5 linked regions of the Mus musculus genome follow. The main gene of each other region encodes a partner of the protein of the gene in region 2 in a complex. Links are inferred from orthologs where the notes say so. Each region holds a gene or a part of one and is shown on either strand. Other genes may lie near its edges.

Evidence for each region.
Region 1: the proteins of Flna (region 2) and Cftr are in contact, whole or in part, in a crystal structure (PDB 3ISW), measured with the Homo sapiens proteins. The link is inferred for Mus musculus from reciprocal best matches to the Homo sapiens genes FLNA and CFTR. Residues at the interface, in NP_001104026.1 of Homo sapiens: Thr2263, Gly2267, Ala2268, Gly2269, Gly2270, Leu2271, Ala2272, Ile2273, Ala2274, Val2275, Glu2276, Gly2277, Pro2278, Ser2279, Lys2280, Ala2281, Ile2283, Ser2284, Phe2285, Asp2287, Phe2311; in NP_000483.3 of Homo sapiens: Ser10, Val11, Val12, Ser13, Lys14, Leu15, Phe16, Phe17, Ser18, Trp19, Thr20.
Region 3: the proteins of Flna (region 2) and Itgb2 are in contact, whole or in part, in a crystal structure (PDB 2JF1), measured with the Homo sapiens proteins. The link is inferred for Mus musculus from reciprocal best matches to the Homo sapiens genes FLNA and ITGB2. Residues at the interface, in NP_001104026.1 of Homo sapiens: Val2241, Thr2263, Ala2266, Gly2267, Ala2268, Gly2269, Gly2270, Leu2271, Ala2272, Ile2273, Ala2274, Val2275, Glu2276, Gly2277, Pro2278, Ser2279, Lys2280, Ala2281, Ile2283, Phe2285, Phe2311; in NP_000202.3 of Homo sapiens: Leu753, Phe754, Lys755, Ser756, Ala757, Thr758, Thr759, Thr760, Val761, Met762, Asn763.
Region 4: the proteins of Flna (region 2) and Itga2b are in contact, whole or in part, in an NMR structure (PDB 7SFT), measured with the Homo sapiens proteins. The link is inferred for Mus musculus from reciprocal best matches to the Homo sapiens genes FLNA and ITGA2B. Residues at the interface, in NP_001104026.1 of Homo sapiens: Thr2263, Gly2267, Ala2268, Gly2269, Gly2270, Leu2271, Ile2273, Ala2274, Val2275, Glu2276, Gly2277, Ser2279, Ile2283, Phe2285, Asp2287, Arg2288, Lys2289, Gly2291, Cys2293, Val2295; in NP_000410.2 of Homo sapiens: Trp1019, Lys1020, Val1021, Gly1022, Phe1023, Phe1024, Lys1025, Arg1026, Asn1027, Arg1028, Pro1029, Pro1030.
Region 5: the proteins of Flna (region 2) and Itgb3 are in contact, whole or in part, in an NMR structure (PDB 2MTP), measured with the Homo sapiens proteins. The link is inferred for Mus musculus from reciprocal best matches to the Homo sapiens genes FLNA and ITGB3. Residues at the interface, in NP_001104026.1 of Homo sapiens: Gly2236, Arg2264, Ala2268, Gly2269, Gly2270, Leu2271, Ala2272, Ile2273, Ala2274, Val2275, Glu2276, Gly2277, Pro2278, Ser2279, Lys2280, Ala2281, Ile2283, Phe2285, Asp2287, Gly2291; in NP_000203.2 of Homo sapiens: Lys742, Ile745, Thr746, Pro771, Leu772, Tyr773, Lys774, Glu775, Ala776, Thr777, Ser778, Thr779, Ile783, Tyr785, Arg786, Gly787, Thr788.

What each region holds. Positions count from the first base shown.
Region 1 is NC_000072.6:18,169,444-18,173,780, reverse strand, and holds the start of Cftr (cystic fibrosis transmembrane conductance regulator), read right to left. Parts: upstream 3,095-4,337; 5' UTR 2,958-3,094; coding exon 2,905-2,957; intron 1-2,904. UniProt on the Homo sapiens protein: Epithelial ion channel that plays an important role in the regulation of epithelial ion and water transport and fluid homeostasis. Mediates the transport of chloride ions across the cell membrane.
Region 2 is NC_000086.7:74,240,009-74,243,878, reverse strand, and holds part of Flna (filamin-A), read left to right. Parts: intron 1-713; coding exon 714-962; intron 963-1,053; coding exon 1,054-1,151; intron 1,152-1,239; coding exon 1,240-1,387; intron 1,388-1,959; coding exon 1,960-2,078; intron 2,079-2,158; coding exon 2,159-2,236; intron 2,237-2,329; coding exon 2,330-2,492; intron 2,493-2,575; coding exon 2,576-2,776; intron 2,777-3,006; exon of another isoform or gene 3,007-3,063; intron 3,064-3,328; coding exon 3,329-3,466; intron 3,467-3,550; coding exon 3,551-3,674; intron 3,675-3,796; coding exon 3,797-3,870. UniProt on the Homo sapiens protein: Promotes orthogonal branching of actin filaments and links actin filaments to membrane glycoproteins. Anchors various transmembrane proteins to the actin cytoskeleton and serves as a scaffold for a wide range of cytoplasmic signaling proteins.
Region 3 is NC_000076.6:77,557,856-77,561,725, reverse strand, and holds part of Itgb2 (integrin beta-2 isoform 1 precursor), read right to left. Parts: intron 3,775-3,870; coding exon 3,587-3,774; intron 2,248-3,586; coding exon 2,003-2,247; intron 1,577-2,002; coding exon 1,354-1,576; intron 714-1,353; coding exon 511-713; intron 1-510.
Region 4 is NC_000077.6:102,467,065-102,471,523, reverse strand, and holds the start of Itga2b (integrin alpha-IIb precursor), read left to right. Parts: upstream 1-1,640; 5' UTR 1,641-1,811; coding exon 1,812-1,999; intron 2,000-3,622; coding exon 3,623-3,744; intron 3,745-3,833; coding exon 3,834-3,931; intron 3,932-4,034; coding exon 4,035-4,197; intron 4,198-4,420; coding exon 4,421-4,459. UniProt on the Homo sapiens protein: Integrin alpha-IIb/beta-3 is a receptor for fibronectin, fibrinogen, plasminogen, prothrombin, thrombospondin and vitronectin. It recognizes the sequence R-G-D in a wide array of ligands.
Region 5 is NC_000077.6:104,638,993-104,642,862, forward strand, and holds part of Itgb3 (integrin beta-3 precursor), read left to right. Parts: intron 1-1,299; coding exon 1,300-1,395; intron 1,396-2,008; coding exon 2,009-2,098; intron 2,099-3,191; coding exon 3,192-3,326; intron 3,327-3,870. UniProt on the Homo sapiens protein: Integrin alpha-V/beta-3 (ITGAV:ITGB3) is a receptor for cytotactin, fibronectin, laminin, matrix metalloproteinase-2, osteopontin, osteomodulin, prothrombin, thrombospondin, vitronectin and von Willebrand factor.

The sequences.
Region 1 (4,337 bases), on a different chromosome or scaffold from region 2:
TATCAAAAGTGGCCTTCAGATTTGGATAACCTTAAGTTTTGTCAAGTATAATCTCTGTAATATGGATCACAAACAGAATGGAAATGTTGCTACCCAATTTCTTGGGACTGTTCATAACCCAGTCAGAGAAGAACTTCACATGAATGAAGAACCGAGCTCAATCCCAAGCTCCTAGGTGAAAAGGCGGGCAGAGTGACACAAGATTGTAATCCCAGTGCTGAGAAGGTAGAGTCAGGGAAAGCCCTTGGGTTCACTGGCAAGTCTGTCTAACATAACTGGTGAGATTCAGGCCAATGAGAGACATGACTCAAGAGATGATAGCTTATACTGCACTCTATGGTCATACAAACATGCATACGCGCACATACACACACACACACACACTAACAGGTACACGTTAGGCATAATCTTTTTTCTTAAATCTCTATGAAAGTGTAAAGTTCAAACATTTCTACAAATCAAAGGTTTTTAGGAATTAATTCCACTAATATGTCAATCATAAATTCTGTATAAATATATCACCACTTGTTTTGAAACAACTTATTTCATAAATGTTATCATTACACCTTCAAGTTAATGCATTTATTTTCCATGAAAGTAAAAAAAATTACTTGAAATTTTCATGGTAAAATTATCTTCTGTGTTAGACCAATTCCAATGTCTTTCCATTTTTTTACTTACTGAAAACTTAAAAAAATAAAAAGTACTTAAATTATTATTAAACTTGTTTTGGTTTCTCAGTAACATAATCTAAATAATTAAAATGTTAATTAATATAATCCAAAACCAAGACCATAATAGTAGACACATAGAAGTCAGCTTTTAGGAGTCTTTTATAACCCTAAGCTTGATGGGATAGGTTAAATTCTAAGGCACTGAAGGAGATCTGATGTAAGAGCATGGCTTTCATCTAAGTATCTAACAAGCCCATGCTACGTGAGGCTATCTATCCCCTATGCTAACTTCTCAAGCAAATGGCATAGATACAGGCTATAGTCACAAAAGTGCACCCAGCAGAAATAAACTCACTGTCCTTTACAGTGAGGATCCCAGCACTTCGAGGAATGTAAACATGTAAACAACAGTAAGGGCAGCTAACATGTCCTCAAAGCACAGCATATATTCCTCAACAGACTAACCCATTACATTATGTGTCACACTGACAGACTCCAAGTTGTAGCACTGAAGTCATGCAGAGACACCAAAGGGCTTGCCTACTAAGCAGTAGATCTGCAGCCTGAGTCCAGGCCATGGGAATCCAGGGCCCACTGCCCTGGTCACTAGGCGGCACTGCCTAGTCCAGTGGAGAAAAGGGTTTTACTCTTTGAAAATTAAAGTCCAGAAGGAAGTTTATAATCACTGACTAGTACTTAGCTAAATGTCAGTTCCTATAAATAGTAGGAACTAAACTCTTAAAAACACACCTATTCTTAAAGCAACTGATTATGAAATCATTTGGAGGGCAGAAATGAGTATGTTCTTAACAAATTTCACAGCCATTATAATACATTTCCTTTCCAAATCAGCCTAAGAACATTTGTAAAGCACACTACAATTTATTAGGTGGGTTATAAAAACGGGAAATTTTTGAAACACTTTGATAAGTGAAAAATTTTGAAGTTTCTTACTACTTAGTGGGAAAACCACACAAGAGATATTCATTCTCCTGAAAACTTGCCTTTACAGACACATTGACATTTAGGTTCCTCAATAGGCTTTCATAAAAGCCTCACATGTATGTCAAGTGACATTCTGATTTTGTAAGTAATAAGAAAATAGATCCAGACCGATAAGCTAGATTTATAGATGAAGTAACAAAAGGCACCACAAATATTCATTCTAAAGAAGAAAGCCCTTCCTTCTCTCCCAACCACCGGGGGGAGCTCTCCTGCAGAAGCACTTGTCTTTCCTCAGCCTTGAGCTCTAGACCGGCTGAAAAAGGAACATCAGGAAGACTAAGGCTGAGCCTTGCCCCCTACCCACAGCATAGGGCAGGTTGAGAACATATTCGACACTTATGATACTTCAGTGTGCTGACTCATTGGTGTGTGTGTGGGGGGGGGGGGGTGAGTCAGCTGAGGACCCATGAGCGCTGCTCTTTTCATTCATTCACACTACAGGATCAGAGCAGACGAAGCTCCACGGAGCACTTCAAATACAAAGCGCTTAATTCTTGCCTAGGTCTTCCAACTTAAATTCTAATTTAAAAATCCTATTAGATTGAGGGTTTGGTTTTTTGACAATGTAGGATAAGAGAACAATGTCCTAATTGTCAATTGAATATAGCTTCAGTGGCTAAAACTCTAGTTTCATATCCCCATGGTAACTCACTTTTTTAATGCATTGCTTATATTATTTCTTTTTAAAGTTAGATATTTTAACTGACTTGCTCATTTTTAAAAAGAATAATGTAACTGTGATGAGCATGTTAGACTTACTCAATATTACAACGGCAAAAAGTAAATACAATATAATTCCTGGACTTTTAAAAAAATTCAGTCAACAAATGTTTTCAGAGCACCTATTACACAGGCACTGCACTTGCGGTCAGCTTTTCTTGGAGAAAATAACAGACCAATCTTAGGAATGTTCTATTAAGTACACTTATGAAGTATAACTTTTTTCAGGAAATTAAAAAAATATATATCTATTGCTCCGTAGCATATTTGGCTGTTGCAAGTCTGATTCACAGTTGCAAGTATATTTTGTTCTCTATTCAATCAGCTTCATTTTATTGTACAAAAATGCTTATTTCCTTTAAAGCACTGAATGACAACACACCTTTTAAAACAAAACAAACACAACAAAAATCTCTTCCTGTTTTCCCAAAGTCTGCCCATATTCATTCCCTTCTCCTGCATAGGCACATGTGTCCGTGCAAAGATCCGCTGAGTACCCTCTCACCTGAAGAAGAGTTTGGAGATAAAGCTGGCTTTCTCCAAAGGCGACTTCTGCATGATGTCTCCGTGAGGCAATGAGGTCTGTGTTCGGCTAAATTCAGGTTGGACTCGACATCTGGATATCCAGGACCAGGTCAATGCTTTTGGCTCGTCCCTTTTACTCAGACCTGAGGTGATGTCATTTGCTTCCAATTCCCCCCACCCACTCGGGTCCCACACACCTCCCCTTCCTCAGCCTTCTTCCCCACGCCTCCGCCGCCCAGGTTAAAGCCAGCGCTGCCTAGCCCAGCCTCACAGTCGCTGCTCTCCACGCCCCGCGCCCGCGCCCGCCCCGCGCGCTCCTTGCGCTCCTTCCTCCAGCGCGCCCCGCGCCCGCCCGCCCGCCCGCCGGCGCCACCTTTTCCCTGGCCCTCGGCCTTAGCGCCCGCCCTCCAGATCCCCCCGCGTGCCTACCTTCAGGCAGCCACAGCAACACCGGCTCAGACTGCGGGCCCGACCCTGGGCCCGGGTAAACCGTGGCCAATCTGCGGGACTTAGAACCCTTTTTTCGTGGAAATAAAGACCACTCACTGATCTCCTTGGCTTCCTGGAACCTTTCTCTTCCTTCTCCCTTTCCCTCTCCCTCGTCCTCTCCCCCTTCCTCTTCTCCTCTTTCTCCTTTATCTCTTTCTCCCCCGTCTGTTCCTCTCTCTTTTCTTCCCATTCCTCCCCTGCCTTCATCTCTTTCCTCTTCATCTCTTCCTCTTCCTCCTCCACCTTCATCTCTTTCTCCTTCATTTCGCTCTCCTCTTTCCTCTCTTTCTTCCTCTTTTCTTCCCCTTCCTCTTTCCCTTTCACTCCTCTCTCCTCGTTTTTCTTCTCTTTCACTCCCTCTTTCTCCTGTCTCCTTAGCTCCTGGCTTAGTTACAGATAACTTTTCAAGATCCATTTTGAAAAGGAGATGAAAATGTGGCTCTTTTGTATCAAAGAACACTCAGGAAGCAGCAAGTTCCACAGTACTCTGAGGTGTCCACCTCAGTAAGCCCTTCAAGAGCTGGACAAGACCTAAGCTCTGTTGACTGAAGGCTCTAGAGTAGCCATAGTGGCACAAATACCTATGAGGTATATGTGTGTCATACACATATGTCACAATTCCCTGATATGTCATAATTACAGCAAAGGTCCTACCAAGGAAAGGGAAGCTACTACTTTCCCTTATGAGGTACATGTGTGTCGTACATATATGTCACAATGCCCTGCTGTGTCATAATTACAGCCAAAGTCCTCAAGGACAAAGAGAGCAAAGAGGGCCCTTTACCTCCGGGCCCTGCTCAGTGTGCAGTGTGGTATTTCATGTGTGTGTGCTAAAAAACAACAGGTGGACAGTCTAAACTAAATGACCCTCCTTTCCTTTCCCTAGTCTGCTAAGCAAAATATCTTGACTGAGACACTAAAAGG
Region 2 (3,870 bases):
TTCAGCTGGGCAATGGGGGCTGTCACCCCAGAAGTTCCCTATAAGCCTCAATGAGTCAGAACTAAACATAGTTCCTTTGACTTGTGGCCCCCTTCCCCAAGCTAGCCCTCTTTTGTTCCACCTCCTATTTACTAGTTTGGGGGTAGAGAGACAAGGAAGTAGCAAAGGGTGGAGCTCGCACCCTTTTACACAAGGATCCTTGCCAACACTTCCTCTGTCTTTTCCCCCACTCTGGAGCAGCAGTTGTATTTCCTAACTACTCTTTGCCAACTTAGCCTTCCTCTTCTTTGGTTCCAACCCAGCTTGAGGTCAGGGGCCCTGTTTCTTGGCCAGTTAGGGCTGAGCCACTTCTCCCAATTCCCATAGATCTCAAGATATTAGGGCAGGTCTTGATCTCAGCAGCTGTACAGCATCCATCTCACTTGCTCTTCCACCCTCCTTCTGGGCTTTGCGGTTTTTGGCAGGGTCCCTTTTATTGGATTGTATTATGTGTCTATGGGAGTCTTTCCCCCCCAAACTCTCCTTTATCACAAAATATTTTCTTACACCATTTAGATGCCCTGGGCAGAGGGTGCCTGATCCACTTTCTACCCCTAGTTGGGAGGGGCCTCTTGTCACCTAATTGATTTGCTGTGCTGCAGACCTAGGTCCCTCCTTGCTGGCCTTCATGAGGGAATACCCTAACTGCAATGCCGCCACGCCTTTTCCCACAGACAGCAAGGCTATTGTGGATGGAAATCTGAAGCTGATCTTAGGCCTCATCTGGACCCTGATCCTGCACTATTCCATCTCAATGCCCATGTGGGATGAGGAAGAGGATGAGGAGGCCAAGAAGCAAACACCCAAGCAGAGGCTTCTAGGCTGGATTCAGAACAAGCTACCACAGCTTCCCATTACCAACTTCAGTCGAGACTGGCAGAGTGGCCGGGCCCTGGGTGCTCTTGTTGATAGCTGTGCCCCAGGTAAGGGAGATCTTGGGCTAAGACTGTCTGGTCAACCTAGAAGGTAGCTCTATAGCCCCAGACTCACAACAAGTTCTTTTCTGTGTTGTAGGCCTATGTCCTGACTGGGACTCCTGGGATGCTAGTAAGCCTGTGAACAATGCACGGGAAGCCATGCAGCAGGCTGATGACTGGCTAGGCATTCCTCAGGTATGCTCCCGGACTGACCCCTGCAGCTAAGGGGTGCTTGGTTAAAGTGAAGAGAGACCCAATGGCTCTTGTCTTCTGTCTGTAACAGGTGATTACCCCAGAAGAAATTGTGGACCCCAATGTAGATGAGCATTCTGTTATGACCTACCTGTCTCAGTTTCCCAAGGCCAAGCTGAAGCCAGGGGCTCCTCTTCGGCCCAAACTGAACCCGAAGAAAGCCCGAGCCTATGGGCCAGGTGAGGGGGCCTGGTCAGTGGCATTCCAAGGGGCTGAGCACTTATATCCGGTCCATGGGACAGTATTCTCTTTCATTTTGGGTCCTAAGAGGTCTTGAGGAAGATGAATGGATCAAAACCTGGTTAAAAATGGTGCCTTGGCAAGGGAATACTAGTAAGTTCCTTAAGTCATACTGGCTTGTAGGAAGCTTCTTGATTGAAGGAGAAGAACCTCACGTATGAAGGATGACCTCGTGTACTGCTATTCTATAATTGGAGATGAAGCAGTCAGGATTGTGCAGGTGCAAGGGGTTAGGAAAGTACAGCAAACCAGATTTTTCAGAGAACAGGCATGGGCCTGTCTTGGTGGCAATAGCCCATATAGCATGGATCTGAGGCCCGGCTCAATGCTGGGTTTACATTGAACAAATCTACCTGATTGGATTGTACCTAGCTGGGGGAGGGGCACTGAGCCTGCAGAGGGATAGGGTCTCTAATGCTGTGTCCATAACCCTTTAGGGTCTGGGAACCAGGGTATAGAGGTGAGAGGGTAGCCCTACTAGTTGGTTCATGGCTTTCTCATCTTCTGACAGGCATCGAGCCTACAGGCAATATGGTGAAGAAGAGAGCAGAATTCACTGTGGAGACCCGAAGTGCTGGACAGGGAGAAGTGCTTGTATATGTGGAGGACCCAGCTGGACACCAGGAAGAGGTAGGATTATCCATTAGCAGGGCAGGATTCTGTTATGCCCCCTTTTAAAGGGGTTGCTCTTAACACTCTTCCCATTACAGGCAAAAGTGACTGCCAATAATGACAAGAACCGTACTTTCTCTGTCTGGTATGTCCCTGAAGTGACAGGGACTCATAAGGTGAGTCCTTGGCTGAGAAGGAAGCTGGTGGCCATGGGTAGTTGGTGAAGGGCCCCTTACCTCACTCTCACAGCCTGCCCCTTCTGGGAACAGGTGACTGTGCTCTTTGCTGGCCAACATATTGCCAAGAGCCCCTTTGAGGTGTATGTGGACAAGTCACAGGGTGATGCCAGCAAAGTGACTGCCCAGGGCCCTGGTCTGGAGCCCAGTGGCAATATTGCCAACAAGACTACCTACTTTGAGATCTTCACTGCAGGTGAGGGGAGACAGCCCAGGCCCAGCCAGCCATGGGGGAGAGCTGTGCTGGGGTCCTAGAGCTGAGTCTGTGCCTTGGGACAGGAGCTGGCATGGGTGAGGTGGAAGTTGTCATCCAGGACCCTACAGGACAGAAAGGCACAGTGGAACCTCAGCTGGAGGCCAGGGGTGACAGCACCTATCGCTGTAGCTATCAGCCCACCATGGAGGGTGTCCATACAGTACATGTCACCTTCGCCGGTGTTCCCATCCCTCGTAGCCCCTACACTGTCACTGTTGGCCAAGGTAGGCCTGCCCATGAGTGTTCTTCTACTGTGGTACTATGGCCTGGGGCTCTAGGGAGGGAGTTGGCAACTGGGACTGTCCCACTGAAGCCCATGTTTGGGAGCCCCAGTTTCTGAGCTTCCACTGTTTGGGCAAGCACTATCTTTCCTTTCCCATATTGGAGCCCTTTTGCTCTCCTTCCTCTCTTTGCCCCTCTTCGTCTCTTTTCTCCATGCTTTTACCTTCGGAAGAGCTCGCTCCAGCTGTCTAGAAACCTGCTGCTCTCTGCTCTACCTGCAGGGTCAACGGTACTTGGATCTACCTTTCTCTTGGTGGGGAGGACTGGGTAGGGGTATTGGGGTTAGTGTCAAGCAGGTGGGAAAAAGCCTGTCATGTCTTTGCTTTGGGTACAGGTTCTAGACCCATTTAAGTTTTTTCTTGCATGTGCTTCACCAGCTTGTGGTCCTAAACTCTGAGGAACCTTCCAATCCTAATGGCCTGGTTTTCTGGGTAGCAAGGGAGGGGATACCCAGCCCCAGTTCCCCACAACTCAGCTGGCTTATTTGCCCACAGCCTGTAACCCAGCTGCCTGCCGGGCTATTGGTAGAGGCCTTCAGCCCAAGGGTGTTCGAGTGAAGGAAACAGCCGACTTCAAGGTGTACACAAAGGGCGCTGGCAGTGGGGAGCTAAAGGTCACTGTAAAGGGTCCCAGTAAGTTTATCTGGTGGGGTGGTGGGTGATAGACCTCAGGTCATGGTTGGACAAGCAGGCCTAAGTTCTTCCTTGCTTTTGCAGAGGGTGAGGAGCGTGTAAAGCAGAAGGACTTAGGGGATGGTGTGTATGGCTTTGAATATTACCCTACAATCCCTGGCACATACACTGTCACCATCACATGGGGTGGCCAGAACATTGGTCGAAGGTAAGCTCCCTCCACTATTCATCATGTTCTGAGCCCTACCATCTATCTGGTGAGGGGCCAGTGGCTGTTGGGCATAGGGCAGTGGCTCTTGGTGTTTACCTGTGTGGTACTCTTGCCTGCAGTCCGTTTGAGGTGAAGGTAGGCACTGAGTGTGGCAATCAGAAAGTTCGGGCATGGGGTCCTGGCCTGGAAGGAG
Region 3 (3,870 bases), on a different chromosome or scaffold from region 2:
TACTGCTCACTGTGGGTGGAACCATTCTCCTTCTGCTCTCTGCAGATGTAGAACTCTTGTCTCATCCAGCACCATGTCTGCCTGCACACTGCCACACTTCCTGCTGAGCTGATAATGGACTACGTTTCTGAAACAGTAAGCCAGCCCCAATGAAATGTTTGCCTTGGTAGCCTTGGTCATGGTGTCTCTTCACAGCAAGCTAAGACAATACCCAGTATGTATTAGAGCTACCACCAGGAGACCCCATCTAATGTTCATCTCCTCATACAGGGCCGGGTAAGGAGTGGGAATGAGAGGGCCACAGGGCAGAGCCTGTGGATGGCTGCTAGCTGCCCTGCCCAAGTGTCCCGGATGGCTCCACCTCCTGCTTTGCCCCACTGAAGAGAGATGTTTTCCTCTACAGCCCCCTCACTGTCTGCAAAGGCCTCACGGTCAGAGTACTCCACTGAGAACTATGCTCCACTGAGACCAGATCATGAGATCACACCCCCAGGTACCACCCAGCCTCACCTAGACTGTCCTCCACATGGATGTTGTAAATGTTCCTTCCGTCCTTCTGCTGCAAAGTGTAAGTTATCCAACAGCCTTCCGAGTCCCTCTCCTTGCAGGGCTTTTTCTTCAAAGGGATAGTCTGCAGCGTCATACCAGCACACTGAACACTACAGTTCTTCTCAAAAGGGCCCTTATCAAACTTCAGGCACTCGGCACAAGAGCTGCAGAGGAGGAGGAGGAGGAGTCAGGTGGGGTGGGTGTTGAGAGCATGTAAGGGCATGAGGTGTGAATTGGCGCATGTTGGTTCTTTCGAGGGCACATCAGTGATGTCAGGGCACGCAGGTGCGTGGAGGTGTGTGGTTGTGGAAGGGTGCGCTAGTGTGTCAAAGTGTGTGTGCCAGGATGTCCAGGTGTATGTGGGTACACTGACTGGTATTTGAGGGTGCATGGACTGCAGAGCTATGCAAGGTCATGTGTATGACTCAGGAAAAAACATGGTTGTGTCTGATGTATGGTCTGAGGAGAGTGTAGTCATTTGCAAACTAGGCGGTCCTAGGTGGAGGGTCTGGGAGCTTTCAGTCTCAGGGTAACCAAGTGAGGGATGAGAGAGACACAAATTGTGGTCCTACCAGGGTATGGAAGGCAGAGCCAGTGTTAATGGAAACTTCATTCAAGGGCTGAAGGGGCCTAGGCCTAGCATCCTCCCTGTGAAGCCAGGGCTCCTGCAGCCATGCAAGAAGGCAGGTGGTGGCAGGGACACTGGACCTGCTGAATCCTGCTAAGAACTCTGGAGCAGTGGTGTCCCCAAGGGCTCCCAGGTAGTCCAGCAGTGAGGCCAATGTGGGCAGTGGGAACACTCACGTGTGGTTGTCCCTGCAGTGCGAGCCACAGCTGGGACAATCCTCACACATCGGTGGCTGGTAGCCTTCGTCACATATGCACCTGTTGCATTGGCAGTGGCCACGGCCACTGCACTCTACCAGCCGTGCATTCAGACAGCCCGTGGTGGACCTCTGACACTGGCAGGCCGAGCCCTCGTAACCGGGCTTGCAACTACATTTGCCACAGTTGCAGGAACCCCGATCTGGAAAACAACAGAGGATAACATGACTCACTTCCCTGCAGGCTGCTAGGAACAGAGGCTCATCTTCCCTCCTCCGTGCTCCCCAGACCAATCAAGGAGGACTTGTACTTAAGCCTCCTCTACCAATTCACATGACCCCAGAGCACCATGGAAGGATAGCTTAGCAAAACCACAGAGGCCAGGCATACCTTCCTGACCTGCATCCTCAGCAACATGGCCACCATCCAGCCAGATGGGACCTCTTTATTGTATCTGAAAAGCTCTTGGGTCAGGACATGACTATTCCCCTCCACAACCTTCCCAGGACAACGCTGACTGACACAGACACAGATACAGGTCATTGCTAGCCTTGTCTGTCTGCTCCCCCCCCCATGTCCCACTTAAGATCTCCTGGTACAAATGGACAAGGAAGCCCCCAACACTAACCTGAGCCACCGCAGACTTGGCTGTTATATCTCTCACAGTTGACATTGTCACACTCGCAGTATTGCCCAAAGATCTCTTTGTTGGGGACGTCACTGGTATGGCATACACACTGCCCACAGATGCAGTCCCCAAGCCCTGAGCACACGATGGAACTATTGTCCTTCCGACAGTTTCTCTCCAGCTCCTGGCTGCTCCGACCCTGAGTCTGGCACTCACAGTTTTTCCCAATGTAGCCAGACTCACACCTGGTATGATGTGGGAGGGGTTGTACTTAGGTGTGCCCTTGGGAAGGGGGTACCTGTCCTTCCCGGCCCAACAGTCACTCAAACACCTGTAAAGTATGTCATAGCACATTTGCTCTCCAAATGTCTCCTGAGCATGTGCTATGTACTAGGCAAAGATGTCTCCGGGGTCACAGTCACACAGTGACTGGTCTATGAGCATGGTACCTCTTGCAGGCTCACCTGGGAGCTGCCTGAGACTTGTATTAGTGGATTGTCCCAAGAAGCCAGTATCTGTCCCTCCTGACCTAGACTTGGAAGGAGGTCTGGTAGAGATCCGAGATCACTGCCTTATCACTGAACTAGGTAGACAGAAGAATGTATGTACACCATACATAGCTTAGTAAGAGAAGAATGGCAGTAGCTAATCTTAACACATCTTGCAGTGTCCTCCTGCAGGAGGAAGCCACAGAATTCACTGACCAATGGCCCAATCCTCCAGGCAAGTTAGCTCAGCTTTGTAGAGAGGCCACCTAGGGCTGTACACTTAGGATCAGGGCAAGGTGCTACTGGCCGGGGGTGGGGATGGGGCAGCCGCAGAAACCACCACTCTTAGAGTTTCTGGGAGGAGGTATACAGCCAGTGCAGGTCTGAGGTGTAGGATAGAGCATCTCTCTCTCTCTCTTTTTAAAGACGTATTTATTAATAATAATTATATCTAAGTATATTGTAGCTGTCTTCAGACATACCAGAAGAAGGTATCAGATCTCATTACAGATGGTTATGAGCCACCATGTGGTTGCTAGGATTTGAATTCAGAGCGGTCAGTGCTCTTAACCACGGAGCCATCTCTCGAGCTCAGGATAGAGCATCTCAAAGATCAGAAACTGGGACAGCAATTGGAAGGAAATGGCTAGTATCCAGACCGGCAACTACAGCCTCTATGCTTTGTACACTGCATCCTTCCTCCTCCCCCTCCTCCTCCTCTTCTTCCTCTTCCTCCTCTTCTTCCTCTTCCTCTTTCTCCTCCTCCTCCTCTCTCTCTTCCTCCTCCTCAACTGAACTGAGGCCTGTATATACATGCCCACAGGATGGTTTTAGGGCCCAGGCTGCCAGGAATGGTCAGCTATCCCAAAGGAGCTCTAGCAACATGCTGCAAATCTGATTGGTCAGAGTCTCTGAGGTCAGAGAGCTAGGATATGGGAGTTCCTGTAGAGCATCTGTTTCCTGGGTGAGCTGGCCACACCTACTTTACTTGAAGACATGTGGCTCACAAGCAGGCATGCCATGCTATGGGCTGGCCTCATCTGCAGACACCTTTTCCATGAACTGATGCCCCACAGGCCACACGTACCCTCCTCACCTGCAGATACCACACTCCATGACTCCCTTGCCTCCACAGAGACTCTGCTCCCGACTCTGGTCCCGGCACTGACACTCACACTGGGGACGGACCTGCACGGTCACTGTATCCGTGAAACCCAGTGCCCGGATGACAAAGGACTGCTCCTGGATACACTCGGAAGCCATGACCTTTACCTGGAAGGTGACCTAGAGGGGAATGGTGGCCTTCAGTTCCCAACTGTGGGTGACCAGGCCTTGCTTTTTGTCCTTTGCCCACCCTCTCAGATACATGTTCAGCAGGTG
Region 4 (4,459 bases), on a different chromosome or scaffold from region 2:
CAGAACAGACCAACAATTCAGGAAGCACTTATCTGGGAACAGTAGGGAGACAGAGGGTCAGCAGACACTGGTGTGTGACTGACTACATACCTGTCATGTTTTGGCACTGGAAACACACCAGTGAAGAGAGCCCTGAATAAAATCCAAGGAGCTTTCTGCTTAGTGAGGGGTAAAATGTTAGGCTGTGTGCTAAGGGGAGGCATGCGAGGAAGGGAAGAGTTAGGAGTGCTTCAGAAGAGGGGAGAGTGGTAAAGTAGGATAAGGCAGTGGTTAATTCATGGAAATAAAGATGGAGGGGACATGGCTTCATGGTAGAGCACTTGTCCTGCATTCGAAAGGCTATCCCTAGCACTGCAGAAAAGGAGGGGAAAAAAGAAAAGACTTAAAGGAGGGTGTGGCTATAGTCCTACGACCCTTTGCCTTGGGGCAAAAGGCAAGCAAGACCATCAGGGCATGCGTGGTGCTCTTCTGCTCTCTGCCCCCTACCCCCATAGAGAAGGATCTTTTTTTTTAAAGACTTATTTATTTATTATATGTAAATACACTGTAGCTGTCTTCATACACACCAGAAGAGGGTGTCAGATCTCATTATGGATGGTTGTGAGCCACCATGTGGTTGCTGGGATTTGAACTCAGGACCTTCGGAAGAATAGTCAGTGCCCTTAACCACTGAGCCATCATCTCTCCAGCCCGAGAAGAATATTTCTACGCAGAATCTGACCCTCCTCACTTTGTTTACTCCTTCCATCCTTTAGGAAGACTTCAGATTCAGCCTTTCAGCAGCACTACATGCTGGGCTGTGGGCTAGGCCCTAGGACAGCAGAAAGAACCCTTGCTCTCAAAGGACTCGGGTACTCAACCCAGTAAAAAGTGCCATCAGGTACCATGCCCATGTGTGTGTATGCCATGGTGCCATCCTGAGGACTCACGAGGTTTCTCCTAGTCAGTGACTCCGTCCACAAACAGTTCTGGAAGGTTCTATTCTAGCTATCTTTCAATCTATTTTATTTATGTAGATACTGTCAACCAAAAAGGAGCAAAGCTGTTCACTTGAACAGCTGGTGCTCAACCTCGAGGACTGTGAACGCCGCACCTCAGAATGATGTCCTTTTAGCTCCATCTCCCCCCACTTAGGCCAAGACCCATTCATCACCCCTCTGCCCAGTATTGAAGGCTCCAGTGTAACCACACTAAGACTTGGTTCAAGATGGAGACGTGAGGAAAGTGATGGTCAAATGCAACCGGCTGAGGCTGCCCAAAGGCTCATGGGGGAGGAAGTGGGTAAATGTCCTACTCAAAATGATGACAGCCTCTGGTCTTATCAGGGGAGAACAGCTTGCTTACTCCTTCCTCTCCCCTTGGCCACATCACAGCATTCAAGAGCAGGATGGTCAGCTGCATGGGGGAGGTAAGAGCTGTACAACTGTGGGCCATGGCAAAGTGAGCCAGGCAGCGAATTCATGGTTATACTTTCCCAGGCAGAAAGGGATGGTGGCTGGACTTTCACAGTGACAGAGGAAGAGAAAGAGAAAGGGGATTGCCGGGCTTGTGGCTGAGAAACAGAGACAACAGGACATGGAGGTGAGCTTTCCTGGAGAGGAAGGGGAAGCAGTGACTTCCAGCCATCAGCATCCATCCCCGGGGTGGGCCCTCCCCCGTCCTAGTCGACGTCTAGAGGCTATTGCCCTCTGCCATGCCTGCTGCTCAGCCATGAGCTCCAGTCTGATAAGCTGAAACTTCCGGTGGTGGGAACTTCAGGGAAAGGGAAAGAGCTGGCCCATTCCTGTTTAGGACGTTTGGGAAGAAGGAAGATGGCCAGAGCCTCCTGCGCATGGCATTCCCTGTGGCTTCTGCAGTGGACACCACTGTTCTTGGGTCCTAGTGCTGTTCCTCCAGTCTGGGCCTTGAACCTGGACTCTGAGAAGTTCTCCGTCTATGCAGGTCCCAATGGCAGCCACTTTGGCTTCTCAGTGGACTTTCATAAGGACAAACATGGAAGGTGAGCGCTAAAGGACATATGGGCGTTAAGAGAGGTCTGCACCCTCGAATTGCTCCTGTGGACTCTCTCAGTACCTAGATGAGCAAGGTCAGTTCTCCGGTCTGAGTGGAGCTCCTGTCAATGGAGGACCGTTTCCAGGGTGGGTACTGGGGAGAGATAGCAATGGGGAGATGAGCACAAAAGTTTAAAGCTGATGTCTTCCTTTTTCCTTTTCCCCAAGTGTCAGTGATGTGACCGGCTTTACCTCCCTCCCCTCACCCTAAACTGACTGGCAAAGCTACAAGTACCTACCTGGTACACCTTGCTTTCCTCCGTTCCATGCCTCACCTCCTTCCAAATTACAGATGTTTGAAAAGAAGTATTAGATTACTAACAGTCAGTATGGATCAGGCTTTGAGGTCAGACTCCTGGCTCATCTACATAGCTGTGTTTATCCTGAGTGACTTATTGAGATGGACACTGGATTGCCCAGGACTGGGGAATAGTAATTATTCTCAAAGACAGCTGCAAGAAATTATTTCTTCTGCCTGAGAGAGCCACTTCATCAAAAATCAGGTCCCCTTCCCAAGATGGCTTGCACGCAGAGACTATTCGTGATGGGGAAGAACCCAGGGTTGCCTCAATTCTAATGATTCTAAAGGGCACTTCTCTAGCTGAGTGTGGTAACATGTGCTTGCAAACCCAGGACTTGGAAGCTGAGGCAGGAGAACTACCACAAGTTAAATAGCCAGGGCCACATAACAAGACTCCATCAGAATAAATACATAGAATTCCTGATGGGTGTCATGACAGACACCTTTAACCAATCTCCTTTACTGGAAAGCAGAGTTAGGCAGAGCCAGCCTGCTAATCCAAATAGTGAGTTTCCTCCGGGACAGCCAGAGCTACATAGAGAGAGCCTATCTCAAAACAAATAGACAAAACCAACCAAACGAAACCCTCCTGGCATCAGAGCTCCTGAGTGCCTCTGTTCAACTCCTTTCTTTTCTTCCGGTCTCCTGCTTCATTCCCCAAGGTCTGGTCACATGGGCACGATTTAATAAGCATCCTGTGTGTTTATTAACGCACACGTTTACAAAAGCATGTTGCCGGATCATACTAAATACCTCTCATACAATTATTGCATTTACTCTTCCAACAGCAACATTGGTTGTCATTACCTCCATTTTACATATGGCAGGCCTGATTTAAACAGAGATCTGCTAGGCTCCTCAACCCTGTCAGTACCGTACATCCCAGTGAGCTCTCCCCGGCCTTCCCCCTTTCAACCAGGTCTAGCTAAGGGATCTCTCTAGAAGTTTGACAGGCAGACATTTTGTCTGGTTCTTGTTGGGAGGGAGTGAGGGTGAGGGAAATCGGTGTACAAAGGAAGCATAACAGGTCTTTTCAGTAAGGATTATTAAAGCCTTCCCATCCAAACCAAACCAACTGGTTTAGTCTCAGGTTAATTTCCTAAGAATCCACTTTCAGCTAAAATGAAGAGGTTGTCCTCAAAGGACTATCTGTGAGGAAAGGTGGTCCAGTTTTTCCTATGCCACGCCTCCTTCCAGGTACTGCTGGGGCAGTGGGCACCGGGCAGGATAGAAAGGCCATAACCTGTGCTCATCCAGCTTTCCTACACAGCGTGTCCATCGTGGTGGGCGCCCCCAGGGCCCTAAACGCAAGTCAAGAGGAGACTGGAGCCGTATTCCTGTGCCCCTGGAAGGCCAATGGTGGCAAGTGCAACCCGTTGCTCTTCGACCTCAGTGAGTCTCAAGAATGAAGGGGAAAGGGGGTCCCCAGGTGGAAATGGATGGCCGGGCTCCAGAGCTCCACCTTTACTTGTGCCCTCCAGGGGATGAGACACGAAACCTAGGCTTCCAAATTTTCCAAACCTTCAAGACCGGGCAAGGACTTGGGGCGTCGGTCGTCAGCTGGAATGACGTCATTGTGGTGGGTACTGTGGACAAGTCAAAGGGAGCAAATCCAGGGTAGGGACACGTTGGGGGAAGCCCGAATAAGCCCCCTTCCCTACTCTCCTGTGGGTCTGCTCTAGGCCTGTGCCCCCTGGCAGCACTGGAATGTCCTGGAAAAGCGCGATGAGGCAGAGAAGACTCCGGTAGGAGGCTGCTTCTTGGCTCAGCTCCAAAGCGGGGGCCGCGCAGAGTACTCGCCCTGTCGCGCCAACACCATGAGCTCCGTTTACGCAGAGAGTTTTCGTAAGCTCTGGTTTGCCATTCGCTCCGCCCACTGATCGCTGCCAACCCCGCCCCACCAAGGACCTCGGGCCCCGGGGGCCCGCCCCTCCGCTACACCACGCCCCTGGGCCCCGCCTCCATGTCCTCCGGGCTCTGCATAGTTCCCCCTGCCCACGCGGGGCTCTTGGCTTAAGCGCACATTCGGGGGACCTCCCCTTGGCTGATCCCCGCTTGCCTCTTGTAGGCGGAGACAAGCGATACTGTGAAGCAGGCTTCAGCTTGG
Region 5 (3,870 bases), on a different chromosome or scaffold from region 2:
GTCAATAAATAGAGGAACCACCTGTAAATGATCAAAGGCAGGACACTTGACTGGAGATCTCATGAGCTCCCTCACAAGGTCTAGGTTTCCACGGACATAGTCATGACTCGTACTGTTTCCTGGTCTCTCCACTTCCTTGGTATTAACCACATCCAAGCTGAGCAATGTCAGACAATGGGTAAGTCAGCAAACTTTGACACTAGTCTACCCAGAGCACTGAGCTGGAGCTGTGAGAGATGAAACAGCTATAAGGACCTACCTACTCTTAGGAGGTTTAGATGAAGAGAGAGGATTTATCCCTACACAGTATTAATAGCATGGAACTCATGATGTACACTAATTGGGTGGGTGACACAGTCAAGGGCTATTGGCAGTTGAAGGAGGAAAGCTCTTAGAAGCTGGGGTGGTCAAGGAGGGCTTCCTGGAGGAGGTGAGCTTAGGCTAAGGAAGGAGGAGGATTACCAAGATGACAGGTAACAGGAGAAATGAGCCAGGTCAGTGCTGAGGAGAAGAGGCAGGCGTAGGGGTGAGTGACATTTGGACAGTGAGGCTGAGATCATGTGGCAGGTGACCAGTAGAGCGAGGTTAGGGCATTTGCCCGTAATTCCACAACAGTGGGGCCCAGCCCATGGAGATGTTTTGAGCCTGAGCGGGAAGGAAGGTGCTTGGTTTTGGAGCCACCAGCCCAGGGTTCATAGCCGAGCTTCTGGGACTTTTTACCCTTTCACTCAGGCACTGCGCCATTTTCTGTTGCTAATGATACAATAGCACAGACACAGTAAGTTGGAAAAGAGCTTTCGTTTTGTTTTTAGAACTTGTGAATTTGAGGGACAGCATCTGGTGATGATCACGGCTGGCTGAGTCCCAAGACTCAGGCGGTCCTGAGGCAGGAGGTCAGGGAGCATGCGTGAGTCCGGAGGACAGGGAGCATGCGTGTGGGTTTCTGTCTTCATTGGTTTTCTTTTGTTAAGCTAGTGAGATTCAACTCTGGGGCCTTCTAATTCTCCTTACTTCCCAAAGACTTTACCCTAAATACCTTAGCGGTGTGTGTGTGTGTGTGTGTGTGTGTGTGTGTGTCCACTGTCTCAGCATCTCACAGGGGGAAATCAGTTTCAGCTCACGAAACCTGAGGGGTTTGCTGAAGCCACACCCAAACCATAACACTCACTTTGATTAGTGGGTAAAATCAAAGTTTCACATTGCTTTGGTCATACCCCAAATAAGACAGCCTCAAAGGCGTAGAATCCAGGGATGCCTGTGAGACGTGTCTATTAACCTTCACCTTTTCCCCGTTTTCAGGACTACCCATCTCTGGGGCTGATGACTGAGAAACTATCCCAGAAAAACATTAACTTGATCTTTGCAGTGACTGAAAATGTCGTCAGCCTTTACCAGGTAATTAGGGCTCTGGGCTTCTCTCTTGTCACCATAGGTGGGACCTGACCCCGGTGGCCAGCTCCTGCTTTCACTAGCCAGGGACCCAACCAGGAAAAAAATCCTTTTAAACTCATTCTCCAGGCTGCTTACATTCCTCCCTGTAGCCTTTTCCCTTCAACCTCTCACCTATAAGGAAACCTGTGGTGGTTTGCAATGGCGGCGGAGGTGACTCAGTGGGGGGAGGGGTAGAAAAAGGTTTTTGTTTTTTAAATAATGTTTCTTAGATATGAAAATATGCTAGATCTGTTTTGGTAGTAACAAGTAAGATACTTCACAGTGCCCTCCAAACTTAATTTTAAGACTGCCAGTTGGGCGGTAGTGGTGCATGTCATTAATCCCAGCACTTGGGAGGCAGAGGCAGAGGCAGAGGCAGGCAGATCTCTTGAGTTTGAGGCTTCCTGGTCTACAGAGCAAGTTCCAGGACAGCCAGGGTTGCACAGTGCAACCTTGTCTCCCAAAAACAAAGAAAGAAAGAAACAAACAAACAACCGCTGCCAGTCTGACGAAGGAGGACCTGAGGAGGAGACCACTTTCTTCAGGACGCTGTGGACATCTTTGTCTTCCTTTCTAGAATTATAGTGAGCTCATTCCTGGGACCACAGTGGGAGTCCTGTCTGATGACTCAAGCAACGTCCTCCAGCTCATTGTTGATGCTTACGGGGTAAGAATGCTGGCCCAGGAGGCCCTGGTGCGTCTGCTGGACGAAGCTTACTCATCAGCGCTTTTTAAAAAAAGAAGTACAAGAGGGATGTTGTGGTCTACGGCAGAAAACAGACACATAAATTTCCTTCAGGAAGGAAATTATATCAAAAAGCCGTGCTTGGACCTGTGGGTGGGAGAATATTAGATACAAACAATATAATAGGGGGACTGAACATAATAGGACCTTAAAGGTGACAAGAGGCTTCCCTGTAGAGCCTGAAGAGGAGCTTCATTAAGAGAGTGAGAGGTTCAGAGAAGGAGAGAGAGAGAGAGAAAGGAGAGAGAGAGAGAAAGAGAGAGAGAGAGGAAGACAGAGATACAGGACAAACTTCCATGATAGCAGTGGGAGGGGAGGCCCAAGGAGCCTCTCCAATGAGCAACCTTTATCTCCAAACCCAATCTTCTTGCTGAGTCTAAGACCAATCCCTAGAACAAAGGGAGGCTCCAGCTCTGTATACGCTTTAGGAGTGGCGGGAAGTTTCCAATCATATGGTTTGGTTGAACATCACACACAGAGAAGCCAGGAGGTACTATATACATTGAGAACAGTCAAGTCAGAGCACAAATTGTCTTGGAACTCTCTGTCCCAAAGACAGCTGCAGGGACTCAGGCTGTGGGGTCACTCCTAAAGGTGCAGGCCCATGTTCTAACAGAGCTCGGATTTGGGAGCCATCTGCCATTCTCCTGTATGGTCTTACTGCGTTTCCTTTATGCTCCCAGAGGTAGATGGTGGCCAGCCTTGGGAGTAATGAATGGCACCTTCAGAAATGGGCCAGAAAGGAAGGCCAGGGAGGAACAGGAACGGCATGTGGGGAGCTTAGAGGAGGAGGAGGCTGCAAATGGGGATTCGATGCCCAAGAATGCAGCTGTAGGGCAGAGTGAGGGAAAGCCAGGTCTCAGCCACATACAAAAGAGGTGACCGAGCATAGAGCCTCCATGGCAGCAACTGCCAGGTAAACCTCAGGGCAAGTCCAAGGCCACTGGCTTGGCTTTGTGTGGATGGACTTGGCTTTTGTCAGTGCCCTAACCTTCCTTTACCCTCTTCTGCTCAGAAAATCCGCTCTAAAGTGGAGCTGGAAGTACGTGACCTGCCGGAAGAACTGTCACTGTCCTTCAATGCCACCTGCCTCAACAACGAGGTTATCCCGGGCCTCAAGTCTTGTGTGGGCCTCAAGATTGGAGACACGGTGAGGTGGGCTAGGGGAGGGACTGATGCTGAGACTCTGACCATGGGCCCCGAGATCTGTGTGCATCCTGACCCTTTCCAGAATTAGGTGTTAGGGTAGTAGGGTTGTCAATCTTTGCCCGTGAAGCTTCGGATGCTTAAGGTTTCTAGAGCTGCCAAGGAAACCTATTATTTATTTTTTCTTAAAATGTCTATTTTGGTTTTCTGTGTTTGCACGTCTGATTGAAAGTGAAAATATCTCTTAACCTATCTCATCACCCAGGGTAATGCTTTTCTTTTCTCTGCCACATAAAATGGGGGCAGTATAGCATCTGTGGACTCTTGCTGAGCACTGGCTGTACCAGGTTTTATTCTGGCTGATGAAAATCCATCAGCAAGTGGAACAGGCAAAAGTTCCTGCCCTGTTGAGACTTAAGAGTGTAAATATTCATCTTGCCCCTCCACCCCCCCCCCACAGCTTTCTTGATTATTACTGGGTTTTTTTTTAATGTGTACGGTTATTTTGCCTGCACGTATATTTGTGTATCACACATGTGGCTGGTACC